Drosophila melanogaster: one gene and its partner. Changing the gene in region 1 together with any one later gene gives a genetic interaction. Each region holds a gene or a part of one and is shown in the gene's direction. Other genes may lie near its edges.

Evidence for each region. Genes that interact genetically often act in the same process or in processes that back each other up.
Region 2: of Src42A (region 1) and Sos, changing one suppresses a phenotype caused by changing the other (phenotypic suppression), as found in Drosophila melanogaster (3 studies listed by BioGRID).

The regions. Positions count from the first base shown.
Region 1 is NT_033778.4:5,989,891-5,996,433, forward strand, and holds the start of Src42A (Src oncogene at 42A), read left to right. Parts: upstream 1-3,101; 5' UTR 3,102-3,487; intron 3,488-6,543. UniProt on the Drosophila melanogaster protein: Required directly or indirectly for the phosphorylation of drpr which is necessary for the interaction of drpr with shark and subsequent glial phagocytic activity.
Region 2 is NT_033779.5:13,810,412-13,815,482, forward strand, and holds the start of Sos (Son of sevenless), read left to right. Parts: upstream 1-3,404; 5' UTR 3,405-3,802; coding exon 3,803-4,894; intron 4,895-4,947; coding exon 4,948-5,071. Other genes in the region: Adat1 (adenosine deaminase, tRNA-specific 1), read right to left, coding at 1-110, 168-1,039; CG16865 (uncharacterized protein), read left to right, coding at 1,234-1,354, 1,415-1,575, 1,641-1,946, 2,068-2,223; CG16888 (uncharacterized protein), read right to left, coding at 2,314-2,823. UniProt on the Drosophila melanogaster protein: Promotes the exchange of Ras-bound GDP by GTP. Functions in signaling pathways initiated by the sevenless and epidermal growth factor receptor tyrosine kinases; implies a role for the ras pathway in neuronal development.

The DNA.
Region 1 (6,543 bases):
ATATGTACCTGTTAGAAACGTGTTATTAATATATTAATTAATATTAATATTTTGGCAACTTGTAACTTCGGAGTTTGGCTTATGAAAGAAATCTTTAATTCTCGATTTGTTTTTGTTTTTTAAATCCGATTAAACCATAATTTATACAAGTTTTGAAAAATATTAGTTTCCGTGTTATCACGCCAGTGAAAAAAACTTTCCCATGCGTAAATGAATATTTATGATTTTCTGTACTAATGAAATCTCCCCGATTGCCACACGAATGTTAAAGCCCCACAGTTTTTCCATCGGAAGGCGCTAACCAATCTTCTCGAGAGTATTTCTGTTCAGCTTTGAATGTGGGTCAAAGAGAAATAAGTTGAAAGAGTGAGCAGGAAGGTGCAGGGGATTGTGTCTTTATGGTGGTTAAAACGCAGTGACGTCAATGATCACCGATGATTTTAAAGCGTTTACACAGAATACGGCAGAGACGACGAGGCCAGCTCTTGATTTAATTCAAGTGAATTTTTCAGGGGAAATACCTGGACACTCGGTGAATTAACTTCTTGCTTATGCGCTCTTCTTGCTTAACTTGACTTCCGTCAATGGGAAAGTCCGAGCGAGTCGAGCTATTTGACAAAGTGCTAAATGGTTGAACCGAACATCTTAAATTGACTATTACGTAGCTTTAAACGTCGCCAATAATAAAAACGTCTAAATTAGAGCCACCCACAAACACCGAAATCCATAAAACCAATTTTTATTCGTTCCCAGTTCAGATCGTAAATCACTCGCAAAGAGAAGCACATCAAAATCAGCAAACTCACTTAAATACACAAATATATTTTTTTTTTTGCTTTGAGCATTAAGCAATCGCCAGGCGTAGCAATTGAACTCAAGCCTAACTCGAATTTAAAATTTATAATGGAACAACTTTGATTTTGAGTCACTTGTTGCTTTAAAAAGCAGTATCTGTCATATGACGTTTGGATTCTCGTGCGTTTTTTTTTGCATTTAATTTGCCTCGTCTTCCGACACGGAAGACCGCACCTGACGCTATGAAGCTCAACGCAGATCCGCTCTGCTGCTCTCTTGTTTGTTGTTAGCGTCAAATTGCCACAGTGAAAATGATCGATTTATGAGTTTTTCGTTTTTGGCTAGTTCCAATGTCAGAGGAGCATTATTCTGTATACGCATATTGAGTTTCGGTTAATTAAAATGTTCAATAATATGATTGTTGAGAGCGATTTGAGAAGACTCAAATAAATATTTTAACAATTAAAGAAAAGTTATGATACCACAGTTTGCAAATAAATGGGTCCGATTTTCCAAATAATTATAATTTCAGCTCATATGCAGCGAATTTAGTATTTTTTGAACCTCCGTATTCATTATTCATTAATAATTCAAGCCATCCTTTATTTTACTCCCGTTGCCACTATAGGCTGCAATTGTTATTGAACATGACATCAGAAAATGTCGTTGAACCCACGAAGAGAAGGCAATTGTTTTAGAGAGCCACATGCAAGAGCCGTGTCGGCATTTATTCATATTTCCCTGTGTTCATGCGTGGTGAAGTTCCGATTTAGTTGAGCGTTCTTCTTTCGGCTCAGGTGAAGTGTGTGTGTGTGTAGACAAATCATTCGAGTTTGTGGCAAGTCAATAATACTCAATAGAAGGCAATTGTTTTAATAATTTGTCAGTAGCTAAAAAAAAACATAAGTGACAACAGACTCGGTCGTCGCTCTCCAGGAAGGTCGAACGACTACATTTTAATTGACTCAGTGATATAGTGTTAATTTTTAGCTGATACGTCCGATAAAGACTACATATACTAACGGTGAACGTGTTGATGTTATAGGAATTTGAATTAGCGTAAAATTGCACAGGAAGCAAATATTCACCTAGTCTGGCTGGGCATTAATTGACTCGTAATTTACGTAGAGGTAAATACACACATTTCAATCAGATTAGGACAGTAGAAGGAGACGAAATCGCATTTTGTCGATACAGTTTGGTGTGTGGCTAGATTTGATTTCAGTTATACGACCTGTAAGCTGTGACTTTGTGCTGTAATATTGTAAAAGTTAATTTAAAATGAAAAAAGAATATACTGCTAAGTTAGATAACCGTATACTTCAGTGATATTGGCCATACTGCCTAACGTTTTTATAAAAGTGTCCTTTTATTTATTTATTTTGCATTACACAACCCGTTAAAGTTAACATTTAACACTTTCTGTTTACTTTTTATTTCCAGGTAAGTCCCAATATTTCAGTATTTAAGGGTTTTGTGGTCAGGGAAACGGAGAATCTGAGCCATCGACGTAAACACATGTGTTTATATGTGCACATGAATTTCTATTTACATAAGGGAGCTCAGGAACACTCATATTTGGTCAAGTGTTAAATCAAAGTGACTAACGACTATGTTTATAGATTTTGCCCTCCGACTTTTCGCAAAATATCCCCAGGTATTCGTTAATATATTCTTAATATTAAATGGTATGTCCAGGCGCGAGTCCCCACTGCGAGTCCCTTCTGGATTGGATACTAGCCATTAGTATTCCCACGATGTAGACTCTAATATTTTCTATTTCAGCAATGTTCCATAGCATACCTTATCAATGACGAGTTCAATGGCGTTCACAAGAACCCAAGCGGAGACATTTAGAAACAAATAATTTGATTTCCAGTGACGCGACAGTGCTGAGTTATTTTGGTTACGTGAACAAATTAATACAACCTGACATTTTGTCAGTAACAGCGACGAGTTAATTGTTTTCAACTCGATTTGATCTTTGCAATCAACGCACTTTGTGACTAATTGTTGTCGTAATTACAAAACTGTGCAGTTTATCTCGGAGCATCTTAAGAGAGAGGCACTTGGAGACGAAGAGCGAGACCACTCTTCGACGAGCCATTGGACTTCTGGGCCAAGATAAAAGAGACTAAGCACACAAAGATGGATCGAAGAGCGAGAGAGCGGGAACGGTTGGCCAACACGCGGGCAGCGAGCTTGGCTCAAATGGCACACACATAGATGCCAAGGCGGCGGGTGCGAGTGTGTCGGTGCGGTGGCAAGCGGTTAAAACCTTTCTATAAAAATTTCATAAACGTATCAGTTGTCTGCGAAGCGGTGCACAAAACGGACGTGTAAACGGAAGCCGCACGAAAACGGCTCGGAAATCGGAATAGCGCCCGTACACGCAGCACATAGGAAATCGAATCCGAATCTGAGTTAAATGCCTTAATCGAATTTGGCCAAAGCTCGCCTACCGCGCTTACAAGTTTTTTCGTTCACGGGCCGATGAAATCTATATAATCTATTATCCACAAGCCACCACAGAGCCACTAGATGCACTGTGCGGCGCATGCGCGACCTGTTTGTGTTGTTGGCATACTTCTAACAGTCAGTGTTTTCTTTGTTCAAAAGTGCCTCAAGTAAAACCCCACTTTGATATGGATAAGTGGTAACAAGAGCAGCAGTAGCAGCAAAACTGGAAAAGGTACAAGCCCAGGGAAGCTGCAGTGTGCGGAACATTCCTCTGGTGGATCCGAACTCAGAAAAAGATGGGAACAGAACTTTCTATTTTCTTTACTGTTTCGCGTGTGTTTCGCTGGTCATGCAAACATATTTTCTTTGCCTCGGCGCATGCCGCTGGAATTAGAACGGTGTATTCCGTGCGGAATACAAAGTCGAGCTTATTTCGTAAGAGAATTCCTGCGAATCTGGTTATGCAATGCCTGACAGCCCACAAAGTCGTCCTCAAGTTGTTGCGAACTTTATCGTTTACTATGTGCTAAAATGCACAACTGGCTTGCCAAACGGGTGATACATTTTTGTAAGTGCTAAAGCGCTCAGTTCCGTGCACATGAACTTTCTTATACACTGCTGTGCACTTCCACGGCGTTTTTTTTTTTCAGACACCATACCAGGCCTCAGAAATCATATCAATTTCGACTTACGTGACTTGGGCAAACTGCGCCATTTCGCACATATTCTTTGCGTTTAGGCTAAGATTTAAGTTGGCTCTCAGGCTTGGAATTAGCGGAGTTTAGGGCCTTCTTTTATATCGCTTTTCAGCCTTCTCTTGCTGCACTGTGCCGTGGTCGTAAATTTCCTGCGTCATGAGTCATGCCTGTCAGTCGGAGTCGCTTAACAACAGCAGTGGTAGCAGAAAAAAGATAAAGATACAGATACAAAATATTCAGTTGAAAAACACATGAAAATTGCTTTCATGGTATTGAGTGTGGAGCTCCAGATGAGCTAAAGAGAGGCAAAAAAGCTCATTGTTTATGGTAGCTGGCTTCGTGGTCCGCTCTTTGTTGTTGGCATTCCGAGCTGTAACCTCTGATTGTGATCCCTTCGAATTACTCCTTTCAGTTCATTGGTTCTCTCTTCAGCTCCTGCCACTTAAGCTATTAACTGTGGACCGTGCACTTTCCCAAAAACCTCTTATACATACGCTGACGATACTTTGTTTTCAGTTAGAATAAATAAATACAGTAAGGGAATAAAATAAATGTGGTTTTTAAAGCATATATGTGCAATCTCGGAGTCACGTTCCTACTGGAATATTTGCGTCGTCCTTGCACTTCTCTTTTTTGAGTAACGGGTATTTGTTAGTCAAAGAACTCGCTTTGGTGTTTTCTCTTGTTTTTTTAAGAGTGTTGGCGCCACAAAATATTTGATGAATGTGAAGGACGTTCAATTTCTTTTAGTTTCTCTCTTAAAAAAACAATTTTTTTATTAAATTAAGTACACGAATGTCGCGGATATTAATATATATGAAAAGTTCGACATATCGAATAAATTCGAATTCCATGAGTGGAAGGGAACTAAGTCTCGTCACCATTGTGCAATGACCTAAATCACGGTCATAAAATCAAAGCCAAACTTTTTTTTACCATAAGTTTTGTTGTGTTGGTTGAGGTTGTCGGTCAATGGCTATGTTTTTGCTGGCCAAATAGCTTACTTTTGATTTCCACATTAATGGAGCGCAGCAAGCGAATCACAATGTTATTTGCATTAAATTTTTTTGGAGTCACGGAGAAAGTACGCACAAAAGCTATAAATTAGACGGCATCACACAGCTTCTTAATTCCTATCGCTCTCTTGCAATGATTCACTTTTTTTTGGCTACGCAACGTAGACTCGCTCACAGATTTGGCTGAAAACCATCATGTCGAATGGCAACAGAAAGAGTTAGTGTTTGATTTTCGAGGTTTACTAGTTGTGGATTGGCGCACTAGAAGGAAATAACAAAAAAGCAGACAAACATAAAAAACGTTAAACCGGTTCAATTTGGGTCGTAGTACCTTTGAGTGCAATTGTTACCTTTCAGAAACAACGACAACAAAGACTTCGCCAATCGCACTCCATTCCACTCGCTCTGCAGCTCATTATACCCGTTATTATGTTCGTCTTGTTCAGTTTTCTTGGCACGCGTTACCGTAAAAAAAAAAAACTCCCACACAAGCAACCGAAAACACATCGAGCGATATTTTGTAATGACCATGCTTCGAATCGGTTACCATAGGTCAGTCAACAAGTTCGGTGTGAGTTGAGCTTTTATTCAGGGATAAACGCACCGTAGTCTTTTTGTTCATACTCGGTTAGTAACAAAAACTATACAAATCTTTAAAACACTCGAACAATTTTGGTCTTTTTGTACAACTTAACGTATGTAAGAATGTGTAAAATATTGTAAAACACAACGATTTTCTACTAATGTTTTTAAAACATTTTAAAGATATTTTTAAAATATCATATACCGATTCCTCTGAAGTCCACCTACGGCTGTCTAATTCGCTAGATGTTGACTGTAAAAGGTACAGGGTTTTAAAATTGTTTCAATAAAGCAAAATGTTCCCGGATATGTTTCGATCAAGAATATATATATATATATACATTTTATATATACTTTTCAACGAATCTAATTTCCGCTTTTTATCTTCAACTACAGGAATAAAAATATAATTTCTTGGTACACGACAGTATTAGTCCTTGACGTCCGACTCGTGACAAAAACTGCTAAAAGATATAGATTACTATATGCATCAGAGCTTTCAATAGCCTTTCGAAAACAAGACGGGTTCAACTGGTTTTATACAACGTCGTTGCTGTTATGGTTATTGTTGGTGTTTATCGTTAAATCAGCTGTTTTATTTTAAAGTTATTGTTTAGATATTGTTGATATCAGATATATAGCACACATAAATGTGAAGTTTATTGTTTAAGAAACAAGAGTATTAAAGTGTTGGAGTCATCGTTTGTTAGTTAAGTGACTTGAATGTCTGCTATCCCTTACTTTGTTAGCAAATTGCAAACGGATTGCATGTAATATTCACGAAGGTTTAGAGTTCATTTAATTGATTATTAATGAGAATCCTTAAAGTTTTTCGGCATGGGCATTCGCGTAGGGATGTGTACGATTTAAAATAAACTTTTACTTAGCAGGTTTTCACAAGAATCTGCATCTCACATCTGTTGCGCATTTAATCGAAGACAATGGAAATTTCTTTCTTTAAAAAAGGATATATTTTGTATATATCTAAAAAA
Region 2 (5,071 bases), on another chromosome or scaffold:
GAAATGTAAGGAACAGCTTGTACTTGCTGATCGCCAGTGCAGCTTGTGAAGTTTTCATCTTTTTCTTAGTTACTCCTTGACGCTTTCCATTTACGGAAATTTCATAGGGCCTGCGTGTTAGGAATATATGTTTAGATCTGAAACTGTCTAGCTAAAAGGACCCTTACCTTAATTCTTCTGGGACCTGGGACCAAATCAGGCCATTGGGGGATGGCTGCCAGTCGGAGCGTTGGGAAAATTCAAATCTTATGCCAGGATCAATGTTTATCTGTGGCCTTTGAGGCTGGAAGCGCGTGTGCTTAAATGTCCTACAATCGAAACGTTTAAAGATGGCACGTTCCAAAGATTCCAGCTGCGCATCGTCACAGCAAAAGTTCAGGCTGCTAAAGTAGATGGGTTTGGAGATCAATACATCCAGTAGTGCCCCCTGCACGCCTATGACATTCCATCGCGCTATCTTATCACTGCAGGACATGGATAGAGTGCGCTCTCCACGTCCGGGCTTCGTTCGCAGAGCTCCTGGCGTCTGCAACATTGGATCATCGCTAAGGTCACTTATTAGTTTGGCACCCGTATAGACCATCTCGGAATCCTCATCCAGCCGCTGGCGTTTGGCCCGCGCCGCTGGTTGCTCTTCCTCAAGGATGCAGGCATCCCCACAAGGCGTTTGTGTGCTCAGAAAGTGGAACTCCACGTGCTCATCCATGTCGTACGTACTTAGCGTGCTGTTCCAATGAAAGATTCTATCCTGCTTGAGCTCCTGGTATAGAAAGCGAAGAAATCCACGACGTGCCAGCACCTCGGCATGGGAATCATTCAGGATGAGGCCATTGGGACAAAGTTTGGATTCTCCAATGCACTTTGTTCCGCATCCAAGCGAAACTAGTTGACATGCTTCCGTGTTCCGGTTGAACTCCACGATTCCCGCCAAAATTGTCCATTGATTGGCTGTGGGCTTTCCTGTTTTTGGCAAGGACTCGAATTTTTTTAAACAAAGTTCCGCAATTTCCTTAACAGTCGGTTTTTTGTTATCACACATTTTTGTTTATATTCGCAAATGTGCGAACCGATAAGTTCGGTAATCGAATAGCAATATCGATTGGCGTGTTGCATTGTTTACCTTTTGCTTGCACACTCTGGTCTCACTGTTTATTTATTTACTTGCGGTGTTTAATGAAATAGGAAATTACTTTAATTTTATAAGTTTCATAAGTCCGAAACCCACAAATAACCATGCCCAAAGTAGTGTCGCGCAGTATCGTCTGCTCCGATACCAAGGATCAGGAGGAGTACAACGAGGAAAAGCCGCTAAACATTTACTACTGTCTGTGCAACAAGATGGCTCTGATTCTGGGTAAGATTACTGGAGCCAACTAACTGAAAGCATAGTACATCATGTTTGCCTATCCTACAGATTGCACCCTCGAACAGTTGCCGCTACGAGAGGTGGACAACGCCCGTGTGATAAACGCCAACGACCATGCCAACAAACTCACCCACAATCCCACACCGAGGATGGTCTACATCAAACGCAAGAGCAGGGGCAATGGGATCGAGAAGCAGTACCGCTACAAGGTGAGTAGCTGACTTCCACTCCTTACCCGTCATTAGTTCACCTAATGTTTTCCTTTAACCTTCAGTGCCGAAGCTGCAGTCTGCCGCTTTACTATCGCCACAGTCCCGACTCCCACGTAACCTTCGTCATGTCCAATGCCCTAATCCGCAACAAGGGTGAGAGTCCTCTCACACAGCTGCTGAATTCGGAGATCAAGGGCAGTTTCAAGGCACCGGCTGCCAAGCCAGCGACTTCCGCCGGTCCAGACGATTCGGGTATTGTGGATGCCAGTGGCAAGAAGGTCGTCGTCACCAGACACACGAAGAACATGGGCAAGTTCAGCTCGGTCACGGTGTCTACCATCGACGAGGAGGAGGATGAAATCGAGGCGGTAAGTTTGTCAGCTAAAGTTGGTTTGTAAATGGTGCAGGAAATCCAATCTATCATTGCATCATCTACGAACAAACCTACAACTCTTTCAAACTAACCATTTTTTTTGTTCATTCAAACAGCGCGAGATCGCAGACAGCTATGCGAACAACGCAAGGATTATCGAGAAGCAACTGCAGCGCAAAGGCGGAAAATTGAGCGATGTGGGCATCAAAACCAAGACAGAGGACGCACCTCCGCCGCAGAAGAAGCAGCGCGGCACGCTACTGGAAAGATAGTCACACTCTGCCTCCTTATTACCCACAACTAAATATATTTGACGACACAAATGGCTGGCATTCTTGGAAGAAAAATTGCAATTTATCTAGTTATAGCATACGCAAATAGTTTGACCTTCTATGCTGTCGTTTTGGCAGCAAACTGGGATGCTGTGCCAGTAGCTTCTTCAGTCGCTGCTCGGCGTGCTGGTGATTGAGAATCGAGTCCTTGACAAGCCCACAACTGGGACATAGATTGTACTCCGACTTTGACTTTTTGACGATCGCTGGACGCACGCGAGTCTCCATGATCAGCTTCATTCGATTCGTGGTACGCGGCGAGTTGTGCAGAGCAGTGAGTGGACGGCACTTACTTCTTGGCGAGGATTCGGTCCGTTCCAAAGCAGCCTTCTCCTTGCTCCTGACCAGCTCGAGTGCACGATTCGCTCGGGCTTTGGCCAGCTGCAATTCGAGAGGCGCCTTTGGCAGGTTAAAAAAGAAGTGGGTCCACTTATCGCGCAACTGTTCGATGGCCTCCGAGTTGAATAGTGAGCTGGAACGATTGGAGGTATGGGGTCCCCATTCCGCGTTCCCGATGCAACTCAATCTATAAGCGGACATTGAAACCTGAAGTATTATACACTGAAAATTTGACAACAAAGTAAAAGTGTACATATATGTGTATATGTATACTATATACCGTATAGTTATGGTTTTTGGATGGATTGTTTTTCAAATATATAATTATACGAGGGTATAGAAGCTTCGACTTCTGGAAGCTAGCTCCCTAACTGTTTTTGGTTTTTGTATTCTGTTGCATTGCATTGCTTTCATATGTTTAATTGTTTCAACTGAACACATTGTACTTGTTTTCGATTTAGAAGCGTTGAAAGCGGATGTATCTTACATTATCCAAGTAAAATAAGGGATGAGTCGATATGTATGTTGCATATCTCCTTACGATTTTAGATAAGGAAAGACATTTTATAAATATAAATATAAATTTCTTGAAATATAAACATTGAAGAGATAATTAAATTCATTTTTTTTGGGTAAATTATAATATATTTTAAACCTGCTCGTTGCAATTTAAATTCAAAATGCTTCTTCTTCTGCTAAAAAAGCCATTCAACACGAATGCTCTCTACATTGGATTTTTTAGTACATTCTTAAGCATCGAATCAGGGCTGGTCGCGAGCATTTACTGGATTTAGGCAGTGCCGCACTCTGGTCACACCGCGAAAAATATTATATTGAGTTGAAGATTATATTATACATATATATATCGAAGATACATATTCTGAAAACAAGTGCTGAAGCCCAAGCGATTTGCAAACGAAACGGACGCGCGAGCCCCGTTCAAGATTCGAAACGAGTTCAGTGCGTGCGCTTGAGTGTGTGTGACTGCCATGCGACGTTCGCCCGGGTGATCCGGCTGTGCCAGGTGCCCCACGGTTCCAGGTTTCCAGTTTCCAGGTTCCGCTCCACTCCACTCGTCGCTGGATTCAGTGCACAACACAGCGGGCGGGGAGGCGGAGGGCAGGCGGCCAACGAAGGTGCTCCACGGCAGGCTCTCGTCGGCTACTCCACGGCGCACAGAATGTTCTCGGGGCCCAGCGGCCATGCCCACACCATTAGCTACGGGGGCGGGATCGGTCTGGGCACTGGAGGCGGCGGCGGCAGCGGTGGTAGTGGTAGTGGCTCACAGGGCGGAGGCGGTGGTATTGGCATTGGCGGCGGTGGCGTGGCTGGGCTGCAGGATTGCGATGGCTATGACTTCACCAAGTGCGAGAATGCTGCGAGATGGAGGGGCTTGTTTACGCCATCGCTAAAGAAGGTGCTGGAGCAAGTGCATCCACGGGTTACCGCCAAGGAGGACGCACTGCTGTATGTGGAGAAACTCTGTCTGCGGCTTCTGGCCATGCTGTGCGCCAAGCCGCTGCCCCATTCCGTGCAGGATGTGGAGGAGAAGGTGAACAAGTCCTTTCCAGCGCCCATCGATCAGTGGGCCCTGAACGAGGCCAAGGAGGTGATCAACTCGAAGAAACGCAAGTCTGTCCTGCCCACGGAAAAGGTGCACACGCTGCTCCAGAAGGATGTGTTGCAGTACAAGATCGATAGCTCCGTGTCCGCCTTCCTGGTGGCCGTGCTCGAGTACATCTCAGCGGACATACTCAAAATGGCCGGCGACTATGTGATCAAGATCGCCCACTGCGAGATCACCAAGGAGGACATCGAGGTGGTGATGAACGCCGATCGTGTGCTAATGGACATGCTCAACCAGAGCGAAGCCCACATCCTGCCCAGTCCCCTGTCACTTCCCGCGCAGCGTGCAAGTGCCACCTACGAGGAGACGGTCAAGGAGCTGATCCACGACGAGAAGCAGTACCAACGCGACCTGCACATGATCATACGCGTCTTTCGTGAGGAGCTGGTGAAGATCGTGTCCGATCCGCGCGAGCTGGAACCGATATTCTCCAACATAATGGACATTTACGAGGTGACGGTCACTCTGCTCGGCTCCCTGGAGGACGTCATCGAGATGTCCCAGGAGCAGAGTGCCCCCTGCGTCGGTAGCTGCTTTGAGGAACTGGCCGAGGCCGAGGAGTTCGATGTGTACAAGAAGTACGCCTACGACGTTACCTCGCAGGCCTCACGGGATGCTCTCAACAATCTCCTGTCTAAGCCAGGGGTAAGTATTGATACCTTCTGTGCGAAGAATTCTACTAAAATCCCTGCTTTTAGGCCTCATCTCTGACCACAGCCGGCCATGGCTTCCGCGATGCGGTCAAATACTATTTGCCCAAGCTGCTTCTGGTGCCCATTTGCCATGCCTTCGTGTATTTCGACTACATCAAGCATCTCAAGG